Linked DNA regions of Mus musculus: regions 1, 2, 3, 4, 5 and 7 are each reported to be linked to region 6. The links are microRNA targets in miRTarBase. Many come from high-throughput screens and were not tested one by one. Region 6 holds a microRNA gene; each other region holds the end of a gene's coding sequence.

Region 1 (4,066 bases), not on the chromosome of region 6:
TCCAGGAGGTTTAGGTTGTACGCCATGCTGGGGAAGGAAGTGTGTTACTGGGGGCCGAGTTGGAGAGTTCGGAGACTTACAGTTGCAGTTCCCTCGAGTGCTCATCTTCCTCCTGCAGCTGTGGCTCCCACCATGATGGAGTCTGAGAACCATAAGTTGCTTTGGTCATGGTGTTTTCTCACAGCAACAGAAAAGTAACCCATGTCGAGGTAATGACACATCGTCAGGAGAGGCGAGAGTAAAGTGCCCTCTGCCAAAGTCCCAAGGGGATTTGACACTGCAGAGACAGCTGCTGAGGTCCCAGGATGACCCAAGGCAAGCAGCTGGATCAGCTGCTTAAGGAACAACCCCAGAGACCTCTGCTGCCCAGAGCATGTCCAGAAAAGACTTAGGGCAAAGCGTCACAGTGTCACTCATAGCTGCTGCCCTGAGAGGACACTTTGTTCTCATGTGCTACACCTGTGTCATTAATTCTGCAATGCTCCTCAACCTCTGGTGGGCACATAAATTCCCAGGGTTCTTGTTGGGTGCAGAGACCACTGGTTCCATCCGCTGCTGGCACTGTGGGCATATACCACGCCCCAACTGAGGCCAGTGGGCAGCCAAGCCAGGCGGAGTCTCCCTGAGGTGGGAGTCTCGGTTCAGCCCCGCCTTCAGCAGCGCTCTGCCTCTTTGCTCTTGCAGCTGGACACTGGGAAGACCTTCCAGGCCGTGATGAGGTTCGACACTGATGTGGAGCTCACGTACTTCCACAATGGAGGCATCCTGAACTACATGATCCGAAAGATGGCCCAGTAGGTGCTGACCTCTCAGGAGACCCGCACTTGGTGCTAGACCCAATGAGGAACCAGGCCCCCACTGGTGGAGGCCTGGCAGAGCAGCCACATCTACTTCTGATGAGGGTGCTGGCAGGATGAGCAAGTGGGCACTGCCATTCCTGGAGGCACAGAGCCAGGAGTCTCTAGTTTTGTGATTTGTTCATCTTTTTATCCCTTTCTGTAATCTGGATTCTAGAATCACGGGAAGGTCCGTAGTACCAAAGAGAACTCGCTTCTCTTTAAAGTCACGGACATTGATTTTTTTCCCTCTGACTAATCTTGAGCTCAGCACTAGCCAGTATTCTCAGAAGTGGCTCCTACCCTTTCTGTTGTTCTGTGTTTGTCTCTGCTCGGTGACACCCTTCCCTGGAGAGCCCAGTCCTCCGTGTATTACACCAGTGTTAACTGACATAGCATAGACCTTCTTCACACTTCAGATTCATAGCAGCGATGGGATCCCTTCCTTTGAAGTGAACAAGTCCTTGTAGATAGGTCACCCGTCAAAAGTGTTTGATTATCTACCTTTCAATCAACATGAGATTGCCTCTTACCATTTTCAACGATTGTTGACAGGGGTCCTTTGTTTGAAAATAACTGGGGAGAGATACGGGATTTCTAATTTGAATAAGATTAAATATATTTTCATGAAAACGTGTTGGCTTTGGAGTTGAGTTCTGTCGGGGGAATGTCGCGACACTGAGAGCCCCGGAAGTCCTTCGAGTCCTTCGAGTCTGCTGTTTGTACCCCTGCGTCTGAGCTGCGGGCACAGAGGGAACACTGTGGAGCCAGCGTGTGAGCAGCTAGTGTCAGCGCAAAGGACAAGAAAGCACCTTCTGTCTTGGTCACAGCAGCAGCAAAGAGCATATCGCAACTTCTTGGTGCCCTAAAATCTCTTCACTGATCTTCATAACTGGAATTATTTTAGGGTGTGCCTTATTCTGCTCAGGCTGCTGTAGCAAAATGCCTGAGTAAGAACCAGAACTGAGAACTGAGCTGTGAGTGACCCAAACCCTGAGCCTTGTCCAGACCACCCAGTGCCTGTGATGGAGTAAACATTCCGCTGGGGGAGGGGTTGCTTTGTCTCTCTTAACGTTTTATCTTTTCTTTCCTTCTTTTCTTTTTCTTTTTTTCTTTCTTTCTTTCTTCTTTTTTGTTGTTGATGTTGTTGTTGCTGTTGTTGTTTGGTTTTTTTCGAGACAGGGTTTCTCTGTATAGCCCTGGCTGTCCTGGAACTCACTCTGTCAGCCAGGCTGGCCTTGAACTCAGAAATCCACCTGCCTCTGCCTCCCAAGTGCTGGATTAAAGGTGTGCGCCACCACCGCTAGACTGTGTCTCTCTCTTTTTTTTTTTAACTAAAAAGTAAAAATTGTATTTACTTCGTACATGATTTTTTACTATGTAAACATCATGGAGTGGCTGAATTGAGCCTCACATTCTTACTTCTTGTGGTGAGAATACTTCCAAGAATATATTTTTCGAAGAATATAGGATGTATAGATTTCAACAGCAATCTCTGTGCTGTACTGCTTCTTCCTCCTGAATGAAATCCCACGTTCTTCCATGTTTTCACGTATGGCTTGTACTATTTTCTCCATTCATTTCATAGCTGACCCTTCACTGCCTCCTTAGCTATGACGTCCTCTCCGCCCCCGTAACTACTGCCGTGAACATTTAGACATAGTGAGATTGTGCTGTTGTCTTCCTTTTGTGCATGGCCTTTTTCATTTAACACAATGTCCATAAAGTTCATCCCTGTTGCCACAAGTAGTGTATCTGTGTGTACAGGCGTGTGCCCTTTGTTGTCTTTACTGATTCAGCCGTGGGTAGACAACCGGGCAGACGCTACCCTAGCTTTGTGAGTAGCACTGAGATGAATGATGCTGCAGGTGTTCCTCAACAGACTGGCTTGATGCCTTTGGGTGCATACCTAGAAGTGGAATTCCTGGGTCATAAGAGTGGCCTTTGTGACTTTCTGGAGGGCTCCATACTGTTTTCCTGTTACATGTACCTGTATATGACCTCCTACTGTGTGTGCATCCCCTCTCCCGTACTCTCAACAGTGCAAACCTTGATTTTTTTTGATATGGTTTTAACTATGGTTTTATATGCAACTCCCTGATGATTAGTGATGTTGAGTATATTTTCATGTATGTATCAATCACTTTTGTGACTTGTTTTGAAAAACGTCTGTTCAAGTCCATTGCCCATTTTTAATTGAGTTATTTCATTTTGTTGTTGAATTTTAATACCACCTATCCTAGATAGTAAGTATTTATCAACTATTTTCTCCTATTTTGTAGTCAGTCTTAACCCTTGACTATTTACACGGCTAGAAAACTTTTATTTGGAAGCAGTCTGGTGGGCCCGTTTTCCTTTTCGTTGCTGAAGACGTAACTATAAATAGCGCCATAGCATTTCTTGCATTTATCTAATCCTTTCTTGGAGTGAGGTCTTATGCTTAAGTCTTCAATCTGTTTTGAGTTGCTTTTCATATAGTGTGAGATAAGGGTCCAGCTTCGTTCCTTTGCATGTGGACATCCAGTTTTTCCAACAGCATTTATTGAAGACAGCTCTTCTCCATTCACTGGGTGTCTTGGCTTCCTTGTCAAGTCCTAGCCACGCCGGTGTAGGTCTACTTCTGCGGCCTCTGTTGTTTCCCATTGGGTTCTGCATCTCTTCTTAGGTTAGCAGAATGCTGTTTTCATTGCTGTGTCTTTGTAATATATTTTGAAGCTTGATAACGGTAATAATTTCAGTTTTGTTTTCCTTCTTGGCATATCTTTGGCTGTTGGGAATCTTGTGGATCTGTGTACATAGTAAGGAAGCTTTTGCTTTTTGGGAAAATACAGCATTGGGAATTTCCTAGGATTGCACGGCATCTGCAGATCATGGTGTTAGCGCAGACATGTTAATAACTTTAATTTTTTTTTGTATGGAATTTAATTTTCTTAAGCCCCCGTATGGCTCATTAGTTGTTCAGGAGCATAGTATTTACACATTTTTTGCACATCTCTAAAATGTCTCCTGTTACGGGTAGGTGAGGACTCACTTCCACGTGGCTGTGGATGTCCCTCTTGGCCCCTTGTATGCGCGGTGATGTTCTTTGGTGGAGTCTCCTGTCTGTCTAGTGGAGGTTTGGAGTTGTGATTGCAGTGAGCCTCAGGAGTCCAGTGATACCGCAGGCTGTTTTAAAAGCTGGGCGCACATATGAAAACTTGCTCTTCCTCCGACATTTTGTATTTTAAACA
Region 2 (4,066 bases), not on the chromosome of region 6:
TTCCCGTCAGCACAGTTCGTGAGGTGGCCTTGTTAAGGAGGCTGGAGGCCTTTGAACATCCCAATGTTGTACGGTGAGAAGGTTGGATTGGGAGTGGGGCGGAGAGGACAATAGGACCCGTAAGGCAGGAGTGGGACCCTAGAACGCCAGAGGCCACGTTGAGACAAAGGGGACGACTAGCTGGTGATCATTTGTTCTTCTCAGGCTGATGGATGTCTGTGCTACTTCCCGAACTGATCGGGACATCAAGGTCACCCTAGTGTTTGAGCATATAGACCAGGACCTGAGGACATACCTGGACAAAGCACCTCCACCGGGCCTGCCGGTTGAGACCATTAAGGTGAGTAGGGGTGGGGCTGGGGGCGAGGGTGGACCGATCTTTGCAATAGAAGTTGTTGGGATTTTGAAGTGATACATAGTTTCCGGTGTTCTGTGCTTTCTTCTTGAAAAACAGGATCTAATGCGTCAGTTTCTAAGCGGCCTGGATTTTCTTCATGCAAACTGCATTGTTCACCGGGACCTGAAGCCAGAGAACATTCTAGTGACAAGTAATGGGACCGTCAAGCTGGCTGACTTTGGCCTAGCTAGAATCTACAGCTACCAGATGGCCCTCACGCCTGTGGTCAGTAAAAGGCGTTAGCCGACTAGGTTGTGATAGGGGTAGCTCTTGGTGGTTTCCCATAGCAACTGAGGAGTCTTGTACATGAAGTTTTCAGAGCCAGGCAGGTCTGGTTCGTGAGGTCGACACTCACTCATTTCTACTATTCTCTTCAGGTGGTTACGCTCTGGTACCGAGCTCCTGAAGTTCTTCTGCAGTCTACATACGCAACACCCGTGGACATGTGGAGCGTTGGCTGTATCTTTGCAGAGATGTTCCGTCGGAAGTATGGGACTAGAAACTTTTTGTTGTTAATGGTACAGGGTTAGTCCTGGCCGTAGATCAGGTTGGCCTTGAACTCACAGAGCCCTGGGATTAAAGGCATGCGTTACCACCGCCCGTATGGGACTTGAAGCTCTTAACCTACCTTCAGTTGCACATAGCTTTGGCTGCTTGTCTTACTGTGCTAGAGGTTGAAATCAGAACTCACACACACTCAGTAAATGCTTCCGTGCCACTGAACTTCACACTCCGTCGGCCCCCAAGTCTTTTACAGACATGCCTGTTCTTGACCATTCGCTTTTGTGCATGTATGGTACGGGACATCCAGCCTACCCAGTTCATACTGACCACCTTGCCTAGAACCAAGAAACCATATAGGCATGCCCTGGATTTAGGATCTTCCCGTTCCTCGTCTCCACACTCTCTAGTTGGGTCTACATAACGGTTACTCCTCAATTTTTTTTTTCTTTTAAAAATGTATTTATTTCCATGTATGTGAGTACACTCACTGTCTTCAGACACACCAGAAAAGGACTTCAGATTACATTACAGATGGTTGTGAACCACCGTGTGGTTGCTGGGAATTGAACTCAGGACCTCCGGAAGAGCAGTCTTATCTGCTGAGCCGTCTCTCCAGCCCCCACTCCCCTATTTTTGATATAACACATACTTTGAGTCTTTTTCTGCCTTAGGCCTCTCTTCTGTGGAAACTCTGAAGCCGACCAGTTGGGGAAAATCTTTGAGTAAGTATTTGATAAGGAAAAGGAAAGACATTTCCTGCTGCCGCGGAGACAGGAGCTGGGAAAGGCCCCTCCTAACAGAGTTGTCCTGTCCCCACAGTCTCATTGGATTGCCTCCAGAAGACGACTGGCCTCGAGAGGTATCTCTACCTCGAGGAGCCTTTGCCCCCAGAGGGCCTCGGCCAGTGCAGTCAGTGGTGCCAGAGATGGAGGAGTCTGGAGCGCAGCTGCTACTGGTACTGGACCTGGGCGGGGATTGGGTTAAGATAAGAAATACCGTGGCCTGGGGAACTGGCTCAGTGGGTAGAGTTCCTTTGCATAAGTGTGAGGACCTGAGTTCAAATCCCCAGAACTCATATAGAAGTTGTGTGCTTCTATGGTGCTACTCCTTTTTTATTTATTTATTTATTTTTAAAGATTTATTTATTTTATGTATGTGAGTACACTGTAGCTATCTTCAGACACAACCAGAAGAGGGCATCAGATCCCATTACAGATGGTTGTAAGCCACCATGTGGTTGCTGGGAATTGACTCAGGAGCTCTGGAATAGTGGTCAGTGCTCTTAGCTGCTGAGCCATCTCTCCAGTCCTGTAGTGCCACTCGGGGCGAGATGGACAGATCCCTGGTAATACAGCGCTGACAGAGTCTCCAATGAGATGGAAGGCAAGGACTGGCAGCCCAGACTCTTGACCTCTGCATGTATACACGCACATGTGCGTGCCCGCATTTCACACATGAGCACGTGCACGCAGAGATGAAACAGACGGGCCCAGACCAGCCTGAAGCTAAGATGTAGCTGTGGGCAGGCTGTAGTTGTCACTGCTGTTGGGAATGGCCAGCCAGAGTGGGACAAAGGAAACAGCCATGTTGGGTGGGCATCAGCATCGGCTCCTGAGCTGTTTTCTGACCTTTGTCCTCTCCCTTTAGGAAATGCTGACCTTTAACCCACATAAGCGAATCTCTGCCTTCCGAGCCCTGCAGCACTCCTACCTGCACAAGGAGGAAAGCGACGCAGAGTGAGAAGAGGGGCTGCCTTTCCCAGTCTTGGTGGAGAAACCCTCGCTGAAGCGGCAGCCTCTGTTTCCCCCCAAGGCTGTGGAGAATCCTCCAGTTTTTTACAGAGAATATTTTAAGCCTTAAATAACAAGTCCCCACCTCTCCTTACGAGGTTCACCCCCATTACCCTCCCCTAGCTCTACACTAAAGGGCAGGTGTATCTGTCTTCTTCCCTCCCTGATTTATACTGGGATCTTTTTTATACAGGAAAACAAGACAAGACAAAGAGTATGGTCTTTATTTTTCTTTAATGTTTTTTCCAATTGGCTTTGCCACTGGGAGACTTGGGGAAAACAAAACAAACAAACAAAAAAAAAACACGAAAACAAGTTCCCTGCAAGGACCTAGGCAGGCAGTCCAGCTCTTTGGCTGGCAAGATCAGAGAGAAATGCTTTCTTTGAATATTCGGTCAAAATGGCTTTAGTTTCTAAGTTCACTGGTCCTGCTTTGATGAGACTGTAGGTGGGGCTGGGAATGACAACTGATTGGTAGAAATGCTTGCCGAGCACTTGTGAGGCCCTGGGTTATAACTGGTTTTCTCTTGGTGTTCTGACTCTGTCCTTGAAGCCAAGGGTCTTGGGGGGGGGGTGCAGTTACCCTCCTAGGGCCCGAGGCCTACCTCCCCTCATCCATAATCGTGTTCCCATCAAAACAGACATAAGTCCAACCACCAGTTCTTGGGGGTGAGGTAAGGGACCTCTTTTCTCTAAAACAAAACCATAGGGCCACCCCTAGGTGTTTGTAAAGATGGCAAGGCCAGGCAGTGGTGGTGTACGCCTTTAATCCCAGCACTTGGGAGGCAGAGGCAGGTGGATTTCTGAGTTTGAGGCCAGCCTAGTTTACACAGTTCCAGGACAGCCAGGGCCATACAGAGAAACCCTGTCTCAAAAAACAAAAAAATGGCAAAGCCAAGTCAGAAGGATCCAGGGGCTGGCTGAGTGTGGTGATGCCAGCAGGAGGCTGAGGCAGGAGGGTCTGGAATTCAAGGTCTTCCTTGGATACAGAGCTAGCTAGAAACAGCCTAGGCTGCAGAGATGCTATCTGGGAGGTCAAAAGTCTCATAGGAAGGCACTGGGGTTGGCTCGAGGGTCCTTTTGATTCCGGAATCTCATTGCTAGCCAAACACCAAGGATCTACGGGAGAGGAAGAGAGAAAGGTTATTTCTGGACCATGGGGTTGAAGGCTTGAGTGTGTACATGAGGAGTCATTACCTCTGTGAAACTAAAGAAGAGCCCAACACCTCCTAGGATCTTGAGGGCTTTGTCTGAATGTTTAAGGAACCTCTCCCCACACATCTGGCATGTAGAGCTCTTAGTTTTGCACACCTGGTAACAGACATATATAGAGAATTCAAAGTTGCTCACCTGCCCTGTCCAAAAAGCTGTAGTG
Region 3 (4,066 bases), not on the chromosome of region 6:
GGCTCACTCCATGTTGCTGCCTCCACACCCTGCAGCCCCCAGCAGACGGCTCTGCTTTCATTTCAGAAACCCAAGTCTGACACGGTGAGGACTTCCCTCCGCCTACTCACGTCCAGTGCCTACCGGCTCCAGTCGGAGTGCAGAAAGGCTCTCCCAGGAGACTCCAGCTTACCCACAGATGTGCAGCTGGTCACACAGCAGGTCATCCAGTGTGCCTATGACATCGCCAAGGCCGCCAAACAGCTGGTCACAATCACCACCAAAGAGAACAGCAGCTGAGCTCGGGTGCTGTCTGCCTGCCCATAGACTATACACGAACTCTTCAGATTTTTACAAAACATTTAATGATGATTTCAGACTTTTTAAAAGAAAGCTCAGTATTATTTTTTGCATGTTTTCTAACAGATTTTTGACTGTAATTTAACCCTTGCCTTATTTGTGCCTATTTGCAACTTAGTTCTGTCCTGTCAGATTGTCACCAAGTGCTTAGGTCATGACCCCATGTGTTCAAAAGTCATTGTTCCAAGTGTGTTACAACTTTCCTGTCCTTTACAATCTCTACCCATGCCTAAAGCTATAATTGATATTTTTAGTAAAACATTTTCTTAAGAGATAAGAAAGTTGGATTTAAAAACAAAAACAAAAACCCCAGCAGCAGCAGCAGCATCCGTCCCTTCCAAGCATCGTGCAGTCAATCAGGAAGCTTCCCTTCCATCCTGTGGGGTCTCTCCATGTGCACGAGGAGCAGAGCTTCCCACTTCCTAGAGAGAGCGCATCTCTTGGGAGTGACAAGGAGCGGATCCATTTCTAACTCTTGTATCATGTTAAGTGTTGTCTTATTTAATATTTTTATCTTGATTTTCTATCTATAAAGATTTTACCATCATGCTGATGTCTCCATAATGTCCAAAAAAGTAGTTAGAAATCCACCCTTTACATCAGCTTCCAGTCGGCCACATTCAGAGCAGGAGCACCGCCCACTGTCAGGGGCCTGCTTCCCCGCCAAGCCAGACAGTTTACTTAGAACCCTGAGTCAGTTTCACAGGCCGTGCTGCTGACATCCTCCACACGGCTCCTCTGGAAGGATGTCTTCCCAGGTAAGACGCAGGGCCTCCGTGTCCCCATCCCCTCACGGGTAGTTCATGATTAGAACTCCTGTGGCGCTGCACGAAGAGTTCCCCGTGTGCCCTAGCTGGTGGCAGCTCCCCCACAGCTCCCCAAGGGCAGAGGTTGACACCCAGGCCACCGCAGCACTGGCGCTCGCTGTGCTGAAGGCACTTTGTCGATCGCTTCTGCCTGGGTGGAGCTCTGGCCCTGACCTGAGGGAGCAGGCAGTGGCTATGTTGCCAGCCAGGTGCACAGACAGCCAAGGGCGGCTAGGGACCCCACCCAGCCTGTGAGGACAGCAGCTTGTCCCACTCATACCCCTCATGCAGCTGTAGAAAAGTAGCCTGTGGCTGCCAGTGCTTTGGTTTTTCAAGGAACCAGAAGTTTGAGTTATTTCTTGACATTTTTCTTTTCTTTTCTTTTCTTTTTTTTTTTTTTGGTTTTTCGAGACAAGGTTTCTCTGTGTAGCCCTGGCTGTCGTGGAACTCACTTTGTAGACCAGGCTGTCCTGGAACTCAGAAATCCACCTGCCTCTGCCTCCTGAGTGCTGGGATTAAAGGCGTACGCCACCACCGCCAGGCTTCATGACATTTTTCTAATCAGAAATGTGGACAGTCAATCCAGACATGCCCACTGAACAGGCTGCCCATCTCAGCCTCCGCTGGGGTCTGTAACCTGCACATGAGTGAACCTGTCAGCCAGCCCTGGAAGGCAGCATCAGTCTCCCATAGAACGACCAAAGTGAGGTGACCTCAGTATGCTGAGCCTGCCTCATAGTCCCTCTTACAACATGGCCAATGCATCCTGGAGACAGCATCACCTCAACGTGAGGCTCACAGCTCGGAGGAAAGGCTCAGCGCTCCAGGGGCCTGCCCACTCATCGATACACACAAGCCTAAGTGCTGGAGGATGTCCAGCAGGGCCTTTTAGAAAGGGGCCGGCCAGTGTGAGCTCAGGCATCCTCTCTGACAAGCTTTTCTGCGTGCTCCAAGGATGACTGCTCTTCCTGGCAGGCTCCCTGGAGCTGGTTCCAGCCTGAGCTGGTTCCCACCATCCCCAGAGAGAGCAGGCCTCTGTTGGAAGCTTCCGGGAAGAGAACTGTTAGAGGTGGAGTGGTGCAGTCCCGTTAAGTCACGAAGAAGAATGCTGTCCTTGAGAAATCAAAGAACACGGGGCCAGTACAGCATTTCCAGACGCTCTCAAGAACACCAGTCAGTCCCATGTCCTCCTCAGGCTGAAGGCCCTGTGTGGAGGCCTGAGGAGACAGCAGGAGGGGCCCCACACAGTCCCTCCTGAGACCTGGCTGGGGTTAGAGCATACTGTTCCTGTGGGCAAATGCGTTTTGTCTCAAAGCTCGCCCTGGCCGTTTTTGGGTTTTTTGCACGTGGGTCTCATCGCCTCGCAGGAGTGAGCTCTGCATCCAATCTGGCTGCTCTCTCCCCTCTCTGGGATTCTGCCTTCCCACCTGTGTACCCCACTTTCTAAGATGGAGAGGATGAAGACACAATTAATGGAGCAGGCCCTGCCTCAAGCTCCGTTCCCGGAAGGCACTGTGGCCTCAGCACCACGGTCTTTACTTGCCAAAGACGAAGTCCAGTGTTGCGTGCACTCGGGACTCTTAACGGCACAGCGCAGGGGCTCTGCCCTGACCTCAGTGACTTCCATCATGGAATGCAGCCTGAAAGCCGCGTGTTTTCATCCTCCACAGCTTCGGTGGGCTCGCAGTGCAGTTTCCTTTCCTTCTTTGTCCTAGCTGGCTATCACCCACGCTCTTACAAAGCAAAGTGCAGCATAGAGAAAAGAGCATTGCATACCTGGTGTTAAGCCCCCTCGCTCCTCCTCCTCTGGTGGCTTCTCAGCATCCTGAAGTTACTGTCCCTGCCTGTAAAATCCTTCTGGAATCTGTGCCCCACTGGTTATGCAATAAATCGTCTCTTTAAGTGTGTGGTCATGTGCCCCCTCTAGTTGGTGGATATTTCCAGACTAGGTGGGCTGGGGGGTTGAGATTTGGTCTTTTGTTATCTATTGTAAAGCTAAGTGCGGGCTCCCAAAACCTGGTTGTCCCAGAGACAAGAGAGTCCCCACTGAAGACATTAGGTGACCCTGTCCCCATGTTAACTCTGATTGGAAAATAGAGATTCCAATAACGGGGCAGAAGAGACATAGGTGAAGTTTGGGTTTCGAGGGCTTGGGGTTGGAGGAGGACCATGAGGAAAAGAAGGCAGCAGGAGGGGGAATGAGAGCAGCCATGGGTTAGGAGGAAAAAAAAATGGCTCCGTGGGCTGGCCAATTGGAGTTAAGAGCAGCCCAGATAGCCGGGCAGTGGTGGCGCATGCCTTTGACCCCAGCACTTGAGAGGCAGGGGCAGGTAGATTTCTGAGTTGGAGGCCAGCCTGGTCTATAGAGTGAGTTCCAGGACAGCCAGGGCTACACAGAGAAACCCTGTCTCGAAAACAAACAAACAAAAATAACAGCCCAGATGAAATATAGTAATAACTTGGGGTTGTCAGTAGGAAATAGATCCTAACAGCATAGATGGGTAGACAACGGCCTGACTTTCATACTGTTTAAGGTTATGGTGAATATGAGGGTTGTTTGTGTCTTTCATCCAGGAACCTAAACAACAAAGTCAGGGTAGAAACCTCAGACCAAGATTAAATACTTTCTGCAACAGTGGGGGCAAGCTCCCATGTGGCTGATCTGTAAGGAGACATGGTTTAAGGAGACATGGTCTTGGCTCAGTCTCCTTCCTATGTTCTCTGTAGCCTGTTTTGTTTTGTATTTGAGGCAGGGTCTCATGTAGCTTAGGCGCACCTTGAGCTGTCATCCCCCTGCCTCTGCTTCCTGAACACTGGGATTACAAGCATGTGCCACCATGCCCAGCTCTTCACCCATGTATCCATCTAACCCGGTAAGCTTACCCCAGTCATTTTTAGGTCGGCCCAGGCTGGCCCCGCAC
Region 4 (4,066 bases), not on the chromosome of region 6:
GTAATTGAGTTGGGGTATTTGGAAGGGAGGTGTATGAAATGTCTTTCCAACTTAATGATAACTTCAGCTGAAAATGGCTTCTTAAGACATAACTGCCTCCATAAGTTGTGGAGAGGTTGTACAGTAAATCTAAACACAAAGGTGGTGGTGGACTCACACAGCTATCATCTGTGGGGTTCTCAATGCCATAAATGCAGGGACATTTGATGCTTATTTTATTTATGTGTGTGTGTTTGCCCTGTGTGTGCAGGTGCCCTGGCAGCCCCGAAGAGGGAGTCAGATCCCTTGGAGTTGGAGGCAATTGTGAGCTGCCCAGCATGGGTGCTGGAGACTGAACTGGGTCCTCTGAAAGAGCAGCACACACTTTTAACCCCTGAGGCATCTCTTCAGCCCCCCCCAGGGCACTTCTTATTATGATTAATGAAGTGGGGAAAGTAGATGGATGGCACACAAGTCCATGGAATAAAGTGGTTATTGTAAACTTTGAGGAGTTTCTGAAAATAATATCCTATTTTCATACCTAGGATGAAGCTGGAGGCAGATTCATTGCTTTCTCTGGAGAAGGACAGTCACTGCGTAAGAAGGGAAGAAAGCCCTAAGTCTAAAACTGTTGGCTGACTGGAAAATAAAAGATCCGATTGCACCTGGCTTACAGTTACTGGCTCTGACAAGTTCAGAGATACTCTGTTATTTATGGTTTGTTTAAAGTTACCTGAGAACTATCAAGCTTGTCCTGGATACAAAGCAGCAGAACTTGGAGGTTGTGTGCTTGATCTGGGGGAGAGAGCGCTGGGGTCCTCTAGGTGGTGGCCTCCTCCACTCCCTAACTCCAGCTTCAGGGCCCTCACAGCCTCAGCAGAGCAGCTCCCGATTCCTGACTCACTCTTCTTCCCCATGTCTGTTCATGGTGCAGTGTCTTTAGCCCATCATGGCTACTCAGGCCAGCACTTGAGTACCAGACAAAGATGGCCTCTGTTTTTATTTACAGTGACTCAGAAGGGATCTCATCCAGATGAAAGCGCTCTCATTTTAATCTGCTCGCTCTCAGTGAATTCCATGATGAAGCCAGATATGAAAGGCAGAATGAATACATGCTTGAGTAACGTGCCCCCGTTACATTTATTTTTTATTATTATTTTTATTTATTTTTGTGGCTTTTCAAGACAGAGTTCCCTGGCTGTCCTGGAACTCACTTTGTAGACTAGGCTGGCCTTGAACTCAAAAATCCACCTGCCTCTGCCTCCCAAGTGCTGGGATTAAAGGTGTGCGCCACCACTGCCCGCCCTCCGCTACATTTATTACCCAAGGTTCTGATGGTTTGTCTGTTTTTCAAGTGCTAGGATTGAACCAGAACCTCGTGAATATTAAGCATGCCACACACTCTGCCACTGAGGCTCCCCCATACCCCATTTTCTTACTGTTTTATTGTCTTCAGATCTGCACTTTGTATGATGTAAGGTCTTTTGACATGCTGATCCAGCTATTTAAAATTTGTTCCCTGAGAATAATTCTTATTGAAGAATTAAATAAACTGATTAAAACTCGCCTCTAGTTTGATATGGTATGTTGTAGATTGGTGGTATGGGCCACTAGCCAGAAGTCATAGGAAGGCCCCCTTGCAGCAGCACCCTACTTCATCCTGTCGTTAGAGACTATTTCCGAGACTTGTGGAGGCTGTAGGGATGGATGTCACTCCCTGATGCTTGGAGTGGAGCTGGTCAGGCCTAGCAAGGTCCTCATGGAGGGTGCACTTTCCCTCTATGTTTGTAGTTCCAGAGTGTGTCCATTTGCTCTTAGAAATATCCATAAACTTAATTGGCTCCTAACTCTGGCACATACATCATTACTGGCCAAATGTGGCTCTGGAAGGCATAAATGCTGTGGTAACCTGCCCGACCTGTCCTATGGGGCTGTCTCAGTTTCCCTAGCAGTAAGACAGCTTTCATTTGTAGGATTCTGTTAGCTAACTTGGTCAGGCTGGAAAGAGCTCAGTTAAGCACTTGTTCGTGCAGAGGATCCAGGTTTGCTTCCCAGCACTCACATGGTGGCTCATAGCCTGTAATTATAACTGTAACTCCAGTTCCAGATGATCTAAGTATATGTGTTGCACATACATAGTTATACACACAAGTGCACTAATAAAAATGTGACTGCATGTGTAGATAAGAGTACAGTGCTCAGGAGTCCCTTCTGTCGCCTAGAAGGATCAAACTAGGAGGGATCAAACTCGGGTCCTTGGTTCTGTTCACAAGTTTCTCTACAGCTGAGTCATCTCACCTTATGATCTCCAGTTAGGTTTTTTTTTTTTTTTTTAAATTGTTTTTGTTGTTGGGTTTGTTTCCTTTTTGAGACAGGGTCTCACTAATATATATATATATATATATATATATATATATATATATTCCTTTCTGGTCTAGAACTGACTCACTGAGATGTCCCTGCTCTTGTTTCCTGAATGCTGGGATTAAAGGTGTGCAACCCTGAGCCTGTCACTTCTAGGAGAACTTCTTTCACCCTTAGTCATCCTGCACTGCCTTCCTCCTCTCCATACACCAAATCAAGCTCACCTACACTCTGTGTATGCTCAGGCTACATACCTGCAATTTCAGTCCGCCAGGTGGGTTACTCAAGAGTTCAAGAGTCTGTACTTCAAAAACTGAACCACATACGGATTTGAAAAATAAAAAACTGGGAGAACTGACCAGAACTCCTGTTTTTTCCGAATGCTAATTAATACCTTATGTGACTTTGAAGCCAAGCCATCGGCTAGACACCAGGTAGTGTGGCCTCTGACTATCAGCCACTCAGTGCAGACGTCCTGTTTAGTGCGCGTTTGCTTGGAGCTCATTGGTTCATGTCCCTGTCAGTCACACGGGGCCTGGACATGGCGGTCGCAGGGAGCTGGCAGGTGAGTGTGCTTGGCTCCTGGGCTCCTGGGCTGGGTGGGATCAGGCCCTGGGGGCTGCCCGCGCTCTCCGCTGTCTCTCCCCGCAGCCTCCCCGGCCGTGCGAGGTCTACCGCGCCGAGTGGGAGCTCTGCCGCAGCGTCGGGCACGTCCTACACCACTACTACGTCCACGGCAAGCGGCCGGATTGCAGGCAGTGGCTCCGCGACCTGACTAACTGCCGCGAGTGGGAGGAGAGCCGCAGCGCCGAGGCCCAGGTGCGGGCTGGGTGTGGATGTATGCGCAGATCCTTGGGGCAACTCTCTCGTGTTTCTCTCCTGAGTACCAAACTGCGTTATCAACGAGACTTTAGACAGCCTCAGTTACGGGGTGGGGCGGCGCGGGGAGGGGGGCGCAGAAGGAAGGGAAGTATAGAGAGGCTTGGAGAGAGTAACCTTATAGCGTTAGAGTCATCAGCTTGACAGCAAGCTTGCCTTCACCCAGCCCTTGGGGATAGGACGGAGGAAGAGAAAAGCCAACGTGTCTGGAGCACGAGGGTGGGCTATAGAGGGCATAAGAATGAGTCCAAGAGCACCTAAAAATGTTCCAGTACTTGTGAATTGAGTTATCTTTGGCAGGTCAGTCTGGACCTGAGAGTGTGAAGGGTACTGTAGAGGACAGAGACAAGTATGGAGGCTGTTGCTGGACCTTTTCGAGGGAGATGTGAAGAAACCTCTACTTACTCTAGATAGCCATGTAGACATGGCGAAAGTAAAAAACATGGCGGAAAGCAAAAGACTGGAAACTTAACTGTCTGTAACTATATGTCAGCTATCATAAATTAGTGTAAGAAACAAAGATGTTTCTGAATAGAGAAATGGCCAGGGTCATGGAGAAGCAATTCACCGGGAAACTCAGAACACAGAAGCAATTATTTCTTTATTTTATTTTTATTTTTTTTTATTTATTTTTTTTTGTTGTTGTGATTGAGACAGGGTTTTTCTGTATAGCCCTGGCTGTCCTGGAACTCACTGTAGACCAGGCTGGTTTTGAACTCAGAGTTCCGTCTGCCTCTGCCTCCTGAATTCTGGGATTAAAAGCGTGTGCCACAACCACTAGGCTTCTATATAGTTTTTAAAGTACTTTTATTCTTATTTTATGTGTGTTTTTCCTGCATATTTA
Region 5 (4,066 bases), not on the chromosome of region 6:
CCATCTTCAGGACAAGGTTTCTGTATGCATGAAGCCTGAGGCCTGCCACTCTTCTGTACCCTCTCAACACTGTTACCTCTGAGCCAGTGTGTCCACCAAAGAGGCAACCACTCTGCCCTAGCTGAGGTGTTAGGCTAACAAAGCATGCATCCCCCAGCATTAGCTCAGCATGCTCTCAGCTGCAGAGAAGGGAAGGGAAGGGAAGGGAAGGAAGGGAAGGGGTAGGCCAGTGGACTAATGAAGCGTATTCCCTCTAGCTCCGTCAAAGTAATTAAAGATCACTTGTGTTGAGGATACAGAGTGAAGAGCAGTCAGCCTTTGGTATGCCTGTCCCTGATGTGGGAGGAAGGAGCTCTCTGATGATGTCCAGGTTTGGTTTGAATTCTTCATACAGCTTCGTGGGGGTGGGCAGGCTGGATTCCAGAATGCTTTTACAGGAAGGGGTGGGAGAGGAAGCCAGCTCCAGCCTCAGTTGGACAGCTTGCAGGGAGGCCTTCTGCTCCTGTAGTTGACTTTTTCTGAGACTGTCTTCATGTTCCAAAGGTTGGCTTTGGAGCTCTGCTTCTGCTTCCTAATGGCCCCTGGTGTTTGCACATGGTATGTATGTGCACATGGTATGTATGTGCACATGGCATGTATGTGCACATGGCATGTATGTGCACATACATGCACCTGCGTGTTACTCCTCAAGAACCATCACCTTTTTTTGAGACAGGGTCTCTCACTGGTGCCTGGAACTCACCAGTTCAGCTAGACTGACTAACTAGCAGGTCTCAGTGGTCCTTCATCTTGACCTCCTCAGAACTGGGATTACAGGTGTGTGCCACTACTTTTGGCTTCTTATTTGGGTGCTTGGGGTGAGGGCTCAGGGATTTGAACTCAGGTCCTCATACTTGCATGGTAAGCACTTTAACAACTGAGCCATCTTCGTAGCCCCTTTATGTATTGTTGAGGTTATCAGACAGCTCAGGCTAGTGCTATGTATTGGGGGCTGGAGACACAATTCAGCAGTTAAAAAGTACTTGCTGTCTTTGCAGAGTACCCAGGTTTCATTCCCAGTTCCCATGTGGTGGCTCACAATTGTAACTCCAGTTCTAAGAGATTTGACGCCTGTTCTGACTTCTATGGACTCTTGCACCTGCATACATGTAGTACACACACACTTAAGTGTACCCCCCCCCCCCACATAAGATTAAAAAACCAAAGCTGGCTTTTAATCCCAGCACTTGGGAGGCAGAGGTAGGTGGATCTCTTAAATTTGAGGTCAGCCTGGTCTAAGTTTGAGTGAGTTCCAGGATAGCTAAGGTTACACAGAAAAACTGTATCAAACCAACCAAACCAAACCAAGCCACCCACTGCAGCACAGTACAGCTCACTACCAGGACTGCATTTATTATAACAGACTATGAAAGTGCAAGGCAAGAAAGAGGACTGAGGGGCAGTGTAAACAAACGTGGGGGAGGCACAGGCACTCCTGAGGAGGCTCAGACGCCCTCCTTCCCAGGGACAGCCTCCCGCAGAACACCCAGCCCTTGGAATTAAGGCAGTTAGGGTGTGAGCACCTCTGTGCCTTTATTGGTGTTATTTTTGTCTGTCCCCTAACAGCTGCCCATTTCTATCCCTCCTAGCTGGACACTACTGAGCTTTTTCCACAAGTAATGCTTTTCCACACGAGGCCACCTAGCTCGACAACTTTCCTTCCAGGGACAGTTCTAGCCAAGTACAACTACCCCAGAGAGTGTGGTTTCTTGGGCACTGCCCACCCCCAGGAGCTGCCAAATGTCCAGGCTACTCTGTTTTAACCAAACAGAAATAGAACTCCACACTTAAGTTCCACAAGCCCTTGTGGCCTCACTGAGCCCTACCACCAAGTCTTTCTCTACTCTGTACTATCTCTGTTCCCTCTGCACATGAGGACTCCACCTCTGCAGAGCCCTAGAAGCCTGGATATGGTCTGTGTTCCTTCCCTGCAGGCCATACATAAAGTGCTCAGAATGAGATCCTTGCACAGAGTTGCAGACTCCCACTGTAGAGCCCAGGCAGCATCTATGACCCAACCCAAGAACCAAGTAGATGTGCCTCTGGCTTCTGTCCCATCTTCCTTCTTGTGATGCTGCCAAGCAGTCGAGTAAAAAGCCCCTAGACATAGTATACTCTTTTCAGCCTTCCACAGCCTGAGAGCAACAACAAAACCCCCTGCTAGGCACTGGCAACAATCATGAGAACAGATTTGTGGCCAAGTAATAGGGAAAGCCTTATCTTTTGATCTTACCTTTTTTGCTACTACCTATGAAAGGACATAGCAGGCATATCATTTCTCCTAAGCCTCCAGTAATCACTGGACGGACAGTCACATGTGGTGCCCAACCCCTAACTCTGACTATTGCCGCCCCTTATGCTGGGAACCGTATCTACCCCAAGCCTCACCACACACCTGGGTAAGATAAAGCAAAGAGGCCAGGCAGTGGTGGCGCACGCCTTTAATCCCAGCACTTGGGAGGCAGGGGCAGGTGGATTTCTGAGTTCAAGGTCAGCCTGGTCTACAGAGTAAGTTCCAGGACAGCCAGGGGGCTACACAGAGAAACCCTGTCTCGAAAAACCAAAAAAAAAAAAAAAACCCCAAAGAGGAGGACCCGGGCAGAGGGGGACTGGGAAAACTAGATTCCAGGAAGAGGCTTAGTACTGAGTCTCAGGCTTGGGGCTTAGCTGTGTTCTCCCAGAGGCTTTTTTTTTTGTTTTGTTTTGTGCATCAGCCCTAGCCTTGCACAGGCTAGGCAAGTGCTCTACCAGCCTGTGAGCCCTGTGCTGGGGAGAGAAATGTGCCTTGTTAGAGGGAAGGCCTCCTTGCACTGCAGATTCATCAACTCAAGTGGGGTCCAGGAGCTGGCTTAAGTCTCCCCTTCCCATCCTGTCTAAACATTTCCATGTAGGCCAGAGTCACACAGCTACACCAGGACACCTCTCATCCATCAATACTTCTCAAAAGCTTACACAGCTAAACATAGGAAGGCACTAACTTCCCAGCAGCTCCCTCTGCTGGTAATAACAAAAACTGCAGATTCCTGCCAATCCAATTTTTACCTCAAAAAAAAAAAAAAAAGTCGGAGAAACTCTCCAATGCCAAGGAACTACAGATAAATAAACATATACAACAGAGCAGTTCTCTTGTAACAGGGGAAGGGCCAACAGAGTTACTAAGCCCATCCAGACAGCAGGGCCAGCAGAATGGTCCAAGTTCAGAGGTTCTGAAAGCCACAGGCCCACTCCATCATTAAGTTAGATTCCTTGCTGTAACCTAAGGAACAACCCACTTGGCGCTTCCCAGCTGTATTCTTTGAGATTCCTCCTGCAAGCCATAAAGTGCTGCTCTCTGCCTCTCACCATACCCCCAGCACAGCCTGAGTGAAGGAGTTCGTTCTTTCTTCTCCCTCCTCAGGAGGAGTCAGAATGTCTGTAAATGGTTTTCTTAGCAATCAGCATAAGAACCTCAGGAAGTTTCTCCTCCCTTATTAAAGTGGCTTCCTGAAACTGCCCCAGTGGGAACCTGCCGACTTCCACCTATCACCTATGACCCAGACGGGGGCCTCTGACATGAGAAGCACCAGGTGAGGGCTCCTGTAGGCCACTGGCCTCCCCAGAGGTCAATGCCTCCAGTGGTTCTAGGCTGGCGGTGATACCCAGTGCACTGAGTATCACTGTGAAGGGCCATTGGGGCCATCGGCCCATCCTGGAGGGCTATGGCTACTGGAGGGTACAGGAAGAATCCCCAAGGCAGCACCAGCAGCAAGAACACGCGGAAGAAGCAATAGGCTTAGGAGGAATGAGGTCCAGGTCCTCATCATCTGGAATCTCATCCAGGTGATATCCATCCTGCAGCAGCTGCCGGCTCACATCCTGGTTCACCTGCTAAAGGAAGAGGACAGAAGTGTAAAACAGGATGCGAGGCATACAGAGCTGCTGCCTAAAGGCAGGTCCCTGCTCTACCTAGCCCCAGGCCTCTGCACATCCTGCATTACAGAAGGACGGCCCTTTCTGTGCAGTGTCTTTCCAGCAGTGAGGAACTCCC
Region 6 (4,066 bases):
TGTATTAAAGCAGACCCCTAGTAGTACTAAAGATTATAACAAATAAGCTTTAATCCCCACTTTTTAAATCTACTTTATTAGAAGGGAAGGAGGTCTTTGCTACCACATCAAACTTAACTACAATTAGGCACCAATAAAATACTAAGTCATAGCACAGGAAGTATCTCATTATTTTGTTTCTGTAATTACTTCAAACATTAGTGACTTAAGAAAATCCTACATACTTAATAGAGAATTTACTAGCCTCCATCTCTTTTCATTAAGATTTCATGTCATCACAGCAGTTAAAATCCATGTTCTTGACCACTCTTCACCTCCCAAGGAGAACAGAAGCCCCACCTCACTGGTGTAGGACCAATGTTATCACTGTATTTTCCCTAATGAAATGGAAGCTTAGGGAACTAGCTCAAAGGTGAAGTATAATTCAGTAAAAAAATTCTAACTAAATTGAACCTATGTAATGAGGTCCCCAAAAAGTAATAAAAGGCTTTCAAAGTTGGGAAATTCCAAGGCACAAAGAATGACACATAGTGATACCTCTCCCTTCTGATGAGAACTCAATGTTCAGATAGGTAAAACCAACACATACCTACCTAGTTTTTCCACTTACCAAAGACAGGGCAGTGTTAACATTAACACATGAAACAGAATGAGAAAGTGGGGTAAAAAATGTGCCTGAGTCCTTTCAACTTTATGAATTTGAAACTTAAAATAGAACCGGGCGTTTTTTTTTTTTTAACCTATAGTTCTTTGGGCGAGCACCATCAGCACCTGAGACTGGGTTACAAAGGCAAATCCTGAGGGCTCACCTGATGACAGTCACTCTCTGGAGATGGGACTGGCAGGGTTTTCAGTAGTGATAAAACCAAAGACTCAACGCAAACTTAAATTCCAGTTATATTCAAATGTTCCTTCAAGACATACCCTATAAAATTTGTTTTCAGCTCAGTGGGGGAAGGGCACTTGCCATCGGGCCTAAGAAATCTAAGATGTATGTCCATGACCCACATGACTAGCTCCCTACAGTTGTTCTCAAATCACCACATGACACACACACTAAATAAGTAGATAGATAGATAGATAGATAGATAGATAGATAGATAGATAGATAGATAGATAAATGTATGTAAATGCTGGAAGTCTAGGAGTGGAGGGGTGCCTACCTTTAATCTCAGCATTCTAGAAGCAGAAACACACAGATCTCCGCAAGTTCAAGGCTAGCCTAGTTTACAAATTGAGTTCCAAGCTAACCAGAGCTACATACCAAGACGCTATTTTAGAAAAGCCAATAGTATTGCTAATTTAAAAAGAGAGCCATTGCCATATCCAGGGATCCATCCCATAATCAGCTTCCAAACGCTGACACCATTGCATACACTAGCAAGATTTTCCTGAAAGGACCCAGATATAGCTGTCTCTTGTGAGACTATGCTGGGGCCTAGCAAACACAGAAGTGGATGATCACAGTCAGCTATTGGATGGATCACAGGGTCCCCAATGGAGGAGCTAGAGAAAGTACCCAAGGAGCTAAAGGGATCTGCAACCCTATAGGTGGAACAACAATATGAACTAACCAGTACCCCGGAGCTCTTGTCTCTAGCTGCATATGTATCAAAAGATGGCCTAGTCAGCCATCACTGGAAAGAGAGGCCCTTTGGACTTGCAAACTTTATATGCCCCAGTACAGGGGAACGCCAGGGCCAAAAAGGGGGAGTGGGTGGGTAGGGGAGTGGGGGTGGGTGGGTATGGGGGACTTTTGGGATAGCATTGGAAATGTAAACGAGGAAAATACCTAATAAAAAAAAAGAGAGAAAAAAAAGAGAGCCCCAGGCTGGAGAGATGGCTCAGTGGTTAAGAGCACTGACTGCTCTTCCAGCGGTACTGAGTTCAAATCCCAGCAACCACATGGTGGCTCACAACCATCTGGAATGGGGTCTGATGCCACCTTCTGGTGTCTATGGAGACAGCTACAGTGTACTTGTCATATAATAAATAAATAAATAAATAAATAAATAGAATCTTTTAAAAAAGAAAAAAGAAACCCATTTTTTTTCAGACTTATATATCAGCTTTATTTTGCAAATTTCAGGTTTGTTTACATTCAGTGCAATCAAAATGTCAGGATTTCAAATATATTTAAAAATATGTAGTTTTAAAAAATTAGACTCCAAGCTGGGCGTGGTGGCGCACGCCTTTGATCCCAGCACTTGGGAGGCAGAGGCAGGCAGATTTCTGAGTTCGAGGCCACCCTGAGTGAGTTCCAGGACAGCCAGGGCTATACAGAGAAACTCTGTCTTGAAAAACCAAAAAAAAAAAAAAAAAATCCACTCCAAATGTGTTCAAAGCAATGACTAGCTAAAGGATTTTACAATCTTACTATAGCACTGATAGACGGCTGTCCACATAGGTCCTGCGGTTTACAGATGGATACCGTGCAATTTTCCTCCTATTACACCAACCAAAATTGCATCGTGTTCCACCTGATAACAGCAAAACAGTTCATTTCATAATTACAGTCTAACATAACTTACAATACTCAGAAACTAAAAGACGATTAAAAACCCTCTTTCTTCCTCAGGCCGGGACAAGTGCAATACTTTATATCTAACACAAGTAATGCCACCAATCCCCACCTGTGGATGAATGGGCATGGATGCTGAAGATGTGCATAAAGGTGTCCATTACGATGCAGAAAGGTACACATTCCCACAATCAGTTTTGCATGGATTTGCACAGCCATATATTCACATATACGCTGAACTGCAAATCTGCAAAACTAATCGTAAGTAGCAATGTCCTTGCGCTGTAGTTGCTTCAACAAGACCTTGGTTGATCCAGGAGTACTAGAAGTGCTCACACTGCAGTAGAGTGGTATAAAAACTACCTGCACTATGAGCACTTTGGCACTACTAGGATCCGAGCTTGTTCTTCTACACAACTGTATACTACAGTCTCCGCCATCTGTTTCTCGGCGAAACACTGAAAGAGCCTTTGAAACTTGTGCCGTTCAAATCATTTCTCAAGATATGCTTTTCAAATGCAAGGTAAGAAGTAGCCTGTGCGAGAAGGGGCATTTAGGGCAGTAGATTGTAAGCTGCTTCACTAACAGCACTAGATGCACCTTAACACAAGAGACACATTACAAGGAGCAGCTCAAAAACATCCACAATCTAACTATGCAGAAACCAGGGGACTCAGCGGCCTCTGATTAAATCACCATGGTAATGTAAGAAGTGCTGGCACTGCAGTAGAACTCAAAAAGCTACCTGCACTGTTAGCACTTTGACATGGCCAAGGCATACTCCAGGAGTGTAACCTTGAAGTCTTCCACGAACTCTTCTTTGCCAGATCTGCAGACTCACCTGGATAAACACACACACACACACACAGCAAGTAAGTGAACTGTGAGTTACTATTTCTAAAACAAGTTTGCCTTCCGTTAAGAGTGCAAATGGGGTTGTGTTACTTCAAACATTAATAAGCTCAATTATTTACACAGACTTAAACATGAATAACACTGGCAATCTCAGAATGTCTGACTCTTAAGAGTAAGAGGATTTTGGACTCCCTCTCCGTCTAAGGAAATTTGAGATTCGCATCCCAGAAAATTTGCAGAGCTGTAATATCCACCATGGTTTTCTAAGAGGCAAGAGCCCAGGAAAAGATGTAAGCAAAAAAATAAATAAATAACATTAGGGTGAGTACTGACGTCTTGAGCTCATCCAGAGCTTTGGGGAGCCACTCGGAAGGTCTCTATGTTTGATTACATGAAGCATCCCTGCCCCCAGCCCATTAAGAGAAAATGATAGAAATTTCAGAGCCGCTTTAAGAAACAGTTTTACACTCTTCACATACCGCACAGATGGCCTAGAGATGTCACATTTTCATCTATTTCAAAGGGCTCTACTTCTGTTTAAACATTTATGGACCCATTTTCTCCATTAAACCTAAAGAAGTCAGATTAGCTCTTTGGCTTCATGTCATTATCTTCCACAGGAAAAACCTCTCTCATTTCCAAGTGTGTATCTTACCCAGGAAAATGCTGCAGAGGACAGTCTGAGGGGTC
Region 7 (4,066 bases), not on the chromosome of region 6:
TTCACCCGGAGCCTCTGGCCTTCCTAGAAGACACCAGAAGTTCTTTCCATTAGGCTTCCATTAGACACCATTAGTTCTTTCCATGTCAGGCTTCGCTGCTTTCTGCCACCTGAGTAACAGATGGATAATAGGTTAGTGACAGTCTTGATCAGCCCTGTCCCAGCCTGGGTCTCCTGACCACTGGGTATTACTTGAGGACACAAAGAGCCTCTCCTATCCTGAGAAGCAGAATCACAGAACCACTGCAACTTTCCTCCTCAACATTCAAGAGATATAAATAGACCGACCCTTGGTTGTGTGTGTGTGTGTTCACTTTGTGTTTTATTTTCCAGCCTCCACTATGCTATGAAGCTCCGGAAAGTAAGCAGATGGCATTCCTGAAGATCACTGGATTTAAGGAAGTCGAGGAAGCAATGAACACTATTGTTTCTAAACTGGAGACTGACCTTGCAGGAATGTATTTGCAAACTGTGGCAACTTAGCTGCTAAAAATTGTGTTTGCTTCACCCTCGAGCTAGAGTCAAGTGTCCTTTGATACAGGACTGAAACATTCCAAATAGCCCATCTGAATTTGGAGCTGACATTCATCCCACTGCATACCCCGTGGACCCCCAGATATATGATGTGCCCTTCTCTCTTGTGAAGACCAGAGGGTTTCTCTCTGTATGCAGCCAGAGGGCTTCTCTCCTTGAAGCCTGCCTTGGCTGGCCTCAGAGTTAGGAGGTTTTGTGCTGTGAACTCGTAAGCTAAAGTCAGTTTGGGTTCATGGTGCTCAGTATGTTTTCCTAGAAGGCAAGGATGGGAGGACCCAAAAATGTTGTCCTTTGAGCCCACATCAGGATGTGGCCCAGACAAGGTGCTTTGTTATCCATAAAAACCCATAACAAAGCCCCTGGCAGGCCAGCCTGAGCAACTGTGGACTTTGCCACATCAGACACTGGGAATAGTGTCTGTGTTTTTAGGCTCTCCATCCCCCAGGCATCTCAGAACTAGCCTTAGTCTTTAGTCCTCTCAACCCACAGTGAGCAGATGGAGGTGTGAATGGGAATTTCTCAGAAGCTATGTCTACATAAGTTAATTGATTAATTTATTATTATTTTATTTTATTTTTGGTTTTTAATAAGATAGGATTTCTCTATGTAGCCTTGGCTATCCTGGATCTCCCTTTGTAGGCTAAGCTGACCTGGAACTCACAGAGATCCACCTGCCTCTACCTCCTGAGTGCTGGGATTAAAGGCATACACCATCACTGCCTGGCTTAACATTTTAATGATGTAGAGAGGCATAGCTTAGGCTGTTCCAACCTAAGCAATGTCTTGCCTCCCTCTGGGTCAGAACTAACATGCTGTAGAGGGCACAAGGTTCTTGTGCTCACAGAGAAGTAGACCTGTTTTCCACCCAGATGTCTGGGAATGGATATAGTTAACATCCTGGTGTTCTGTGCTATTTGTAGACCTAGCACACACTTGAACAGACTATTGTCTTTGTTTATCCCAGACTCTTCCTCCATAGGCCTTTTGCCTGCCAATAGGCCCTTTTCTTGAATACTGTTGCTCAATAAATCTCATCCTTATAGGAGATGTCACTGTCACTTGTATATTAGAAAAGCCTAGGGGACCTCTGTGCTACCTGTAGGGCCAGGCCACTCTTGACTGCCACCGATTTTTATATGTGTTTATCCCAGATTTTTTCTTCTTAGACCTGTATCTCCAGCACTGTTTGTGAGTCAATAGACCTCTACCTCTGCCAAACTTATCTTGTTTTGTTTGTTTGGTTGGTTTGTTTTCTTGGTGTAGCCCCAGATGTCCTGGAACTCACTCTGTAGACCGGTCTGGCCTCAAACTCAGGAATCTACCTGCCTCTGCCTCCCAAGTGCTGGGATTGAAGTTGTGCATCACCATGCCAAGCTAACAGATCCCGTCTTTACGGAAGAGGCCATAAGTACTTTGTAAACTGTGTCAATGTCAACCTGTCTTAAGCATTATTGTACATAAGTGACCGAGTTAATTATCATCAAAAAACTTCCCCCGGAAATTTGTGCTGTGCTTAAATACAGCTAAAGTAAACTGCTGGGGTCAGACTCTAGAAGTTTGACCTAGCATAGGCTAAGTTGTGTTGAACTGGATTTCCTTTTGGCCTCAAATGGATCATTAGGCTGCCAGCCTTGGTGTTTGCAGAGATCCCCAAACATCCTGACAACAGATTTAAACCAAACCAAACCAAACCAAACCAAACCAAACCAAACTAACCAACACTATAGAACTATTCACTTGATAAAACTATTCTCCACCAGTCCAAGTACTGTGAATGCTGTCATATATCTGAAGCCAGAGCTGAGATTATCACTGTGCTGTAACGTTTAACCCTTCCTCTAGTGTGTCTGAAGAACGCCTTACTTTATAACTTTTTGTTCTGTTCTACAAAACTCCATGGAGCCATGAAATTGGGGTACCTAAATCTATGCTTCTAGGGCCATGGTCACTGAAATTTGGGTACGAAATAAAGTATTTCTAATTCCTTTTGAAAGCTGTGTTTTTGCTTCTACTTCAGGACTAGGGATGATGTCAGGCCCCAAGACCCGTTTGTGTGCTTTGAGCTTTTTGAAATATTAATGCTACCAAGGTGGTGCTTCTGCTCAAAGTTGTACAATATCACAGTATGTGCTTTGACCATTTCCTTTTTCTTTGTATTATGTGATGGTTGATTCTTAATTAAAAAACATTTTACTTGATATGTAATGATGTGTTTTAGTTAGGTTTCTATTGCTGTGGCAGACACTAAGACCAAAAGCAGCCTGGGGGAAAGAGTTTGTTTCGTTGTACACCTTGTAGTCCATCACGAAGTAAAGTCAGGGCAGGAATTCAAGCAGGAACCTGGAGGCTGGAACTGAAGCAGAGACCACAGAGGAAGACTTGCTCCTTATGGCTTTCTCAGCCTGCTTTCTTGCATACCTCAGAACCACCTGCCCAGGGGGTGACACCACCCACAGTGGGCTGGGCCCTCCCACATCAATCATTTTTTCAACAAAATGTAGCCAAGTGTGATGGCCCAAATCTTTAATCTCCAAATGGAAAGCAGGCAGATCTGTATGAGTTCTAGGCCATTCTGGTCTACATATAAGTCCCAGAACAGAGACTAGAGAGACCCTGTCTCAAAAAATAAAAGGTCCCACAGGCTTGCCTATTGTCTTATGGAGGCAATTTTTCAAATATGGTTGAAATGTTGAGATAACTCAAGCTTTTGGCAAGTTAACAAAACAAAACAAAACAAAAAACAACTAACCAGGACAAGGGGTTTTGCCCTGCATGTGCCTATGTACCACATCCATGCCTGGTGCCATGCAAGCCATAAGAAAGCCTTGGAAACTCTGGAGCTGGAATTATAACTGGTTATAAGCTACATGGATACCAGTAATTGAACCCAGGTTCCACTGAGTCATCCATCTAGCCCCCTGAGGGTTAATTATGGTTTTCAGTACAACATGATCTCTTGTGCATGCCCTGGCTCGCCAGCAAGAACGACGCTGCAACAGGATCCTTCTGCACATTGGGAGAGCTTGATTGCAGAGGCGAAGAGACCCTAATCCCAGAACTGGTGCTGCTTATATAGGCCTAGGAGAGGCGTGTCTCACACCCGGATTGGTTATGCATGGGTTATGCTTACCACCTCATTTGCATGTCTCACATCTGATTGGTTAACATGTCTCTCATCTGATTGGTTAACTTCTTTCTCATCTGATTGGTTAACTTGTCTCTCATCTGATTGGTTAACTTGTCTCTCATCTGATTGGTTAACTCTCAAAACCTCATCTTGGCAAAAAAAACTTTACTGCCTATGTATGCGTGGTGGCCAGCGGTAACCAGCGCCACCCTGCAATGGCACATGTGGCTTCCCACAATGATCTAGAGTCGCCCAGGAGGTGACTACAGGCATACCTCTCAGGAAATTTCTAGATCCAGTTAATTAAGGTGTAAATAAACTGTGAGCCCAAACACACTTTCCCTGCTTTTGTCAAGTGTTCCCCCTGTCCCCTCTCTGAGACTCAATCATACTCTGTAGATTAGGC

What was found. The annotated mature microRNA mmu-miR-363-5p reads CAGGUGGAACACGAUGCAAUUU and lies in region 6 at 2,462-2,483, opposite strand. An mRNA with a match to its seed (bases 2 to 7 or 8) in the 3' UTR can be bound and repressed. Matches are read on the target gene's strand: a 7mer-m8 pairs with bases 2 to 8, a 7mer-A1 pairs with bases 2 to 7 and ends in A, and an 8mer does both.
Region 1: the mRNA of Aco1 is a reported target of mmu-miR-363-5p. Seed matches in the 3' UTR shown: 7mer-m8 at 2,088-2,094.
Region 2: the mRNA of Tspan31 is a reported target of mmu-miR-363-5p. Seed matches in the 3' UTR shown: 7mer-m8 at 3,485-3,491 and 7mer-A1 at 3,137-3,143.
Region 3: miRTarBase lists Git2 as a target of mmu-miR-363-5p. Seed matches in the 3' UTR shown: 7mer-m8 at 1,630-1,636.
Region 4: miRTarBase lists Ufd1 as a target of mmu-miR-363-5p. Seed matches in the 3' UTR shown: 7mer-m8 at 1,226-1,232.
Region 5: the mRNA of Fam219b is a reported target of mmu-miR-363-5p. Seed matches in the 3' UTR shown: 7mer-m8 at 2,509-2,515.
Region 7: the mRNA of Tnfrsf26 is a reported target of mmu-miR-363-5p. Seed matches in the 3' UTR shown: 7mer-m8 at 1,200-1,206.

What each region holds. Positions count from the first base shown.
Region 1 is chr4:40,196,870-40,200,935 of GRCm38, forward strand. Aco1 (aconitase 1) reads left to right here. Exons shown (of 21, transcript NM_007386.2): 21 at 685-2,140. The coding sequence ends at 798. Among named protein-coding and RNA genes, the nearest start is that of Ddx58, 41 kb to the right of the region's middle.
Region 2 is chr10:127,064,381-127,068,446 of GRCm38, forward strand. It overlaps Tspan31 (tetraspanin 31), which reads right to left. Exons shown (of 6, transcript NM_025982.4): 5 at 3,889-4,002; 6 at 2,910-3,810. The coding sequence ends at 3,736. Cdk4 (cyclin-dependent kinase 4) reads left to right here. Exons shown (of 8, transcript NM_009870.4): 2 at 1-73; 3 at 205-340; 4 at 455-622; 5 at 775-884; 6 at 1,573-1,623; 7 at 1,721-1,856; 8 at 2,549-2,908. The coding sequence ends at 2,641. Among named protein-coding and RNA genes, the nearest start is that of Cdk4, 2.9 kb to the left of the region's middle.
Region 3 is chr5:114,726,395-114,730,460 of GRCm38, reverse strand. Git2 (GIT ArfGAP 2) reads left to right here. Exons shown (of 20, transcript NM_001347400.1): 20 at 67-3,050. The coding sequence ends at 279. Among named protein-coding and RNA genes, the nearest start is that of Mir7028, 8.9 kb to the right of the region's middle.
Region 4 is chr16:18,833,712-18,837,777 of GRCm38, forward strand. Ufd1 (ubiquitin recognition factor in ER-associated degradation 1) reads left to right here. Exons shown (of 12, transcript NM_011672.4): 12 at 525-1,550. The coding sequence ends at 599. It overlaps 2510002D24Rik (RIKEN cDNA 2510002D24 gene), which reads left to right and starts at 2,869. Exons shown (of 3, transcript NM_001033164.2): 1 at 2,869-2,908; 2 at 2,995-3,162. The coding sequence starts at 2,885.
Region 5 is chr9:57,540,495-57,544,560 of GRCm38, reverse strand. It overlaps Fam219b (family with sequence similarity 219, member B), which reads right to left. Exons shown (of 5, transcript NM_001166364.1): 5 at 1,374-3,906. The coding sequence ends at 3,742. Mpi (mannose phosphate isomerase) reads left to right here. Exons shown (of 8, transcript NM_025837.2): 8 at 1-293. Among named protein-coding and RNA genes, the nearest start is that of Fam219b, 5.0 kb to the right of the region's middle.
Region 6 is chrX:52,739,279-52,743,344 of GRCm38, forward strand. Mir363 (microRNA 363) reads right to left here and starts at 2,489; the gene lies at 2,415-2,489. Mir92-2 (microRNA 92-2) reads right to left here and starts at 2,650; the gene lies at 2,560-2,650. Mir19b-2 (microRNA 19b-2) reads right to left here and starts at 2,788; the gene lies at 2,705-2,788. It overlaps Mir20b (microRNA 20b), which reads right to left and starts at 2,914; the gene lies at 2,835-2,914. It also overlaps Mir18b, Mir106a and Kis2.
Region 7 is chr7:143,606,327-143,610,392 of GRCm38, reverse strand. Tnfrsf26 (tumor necrosis factor receptor superfamily, member 26) reads left to right here. Exons shown (of 8, transcript NM_175649.5): 8 at 333-2,708. The coding sequence ends at 349. Among named protein-coding and RNA genes, the nearest start is that of Gm15579, 8.3 kb to the right of the region's middle.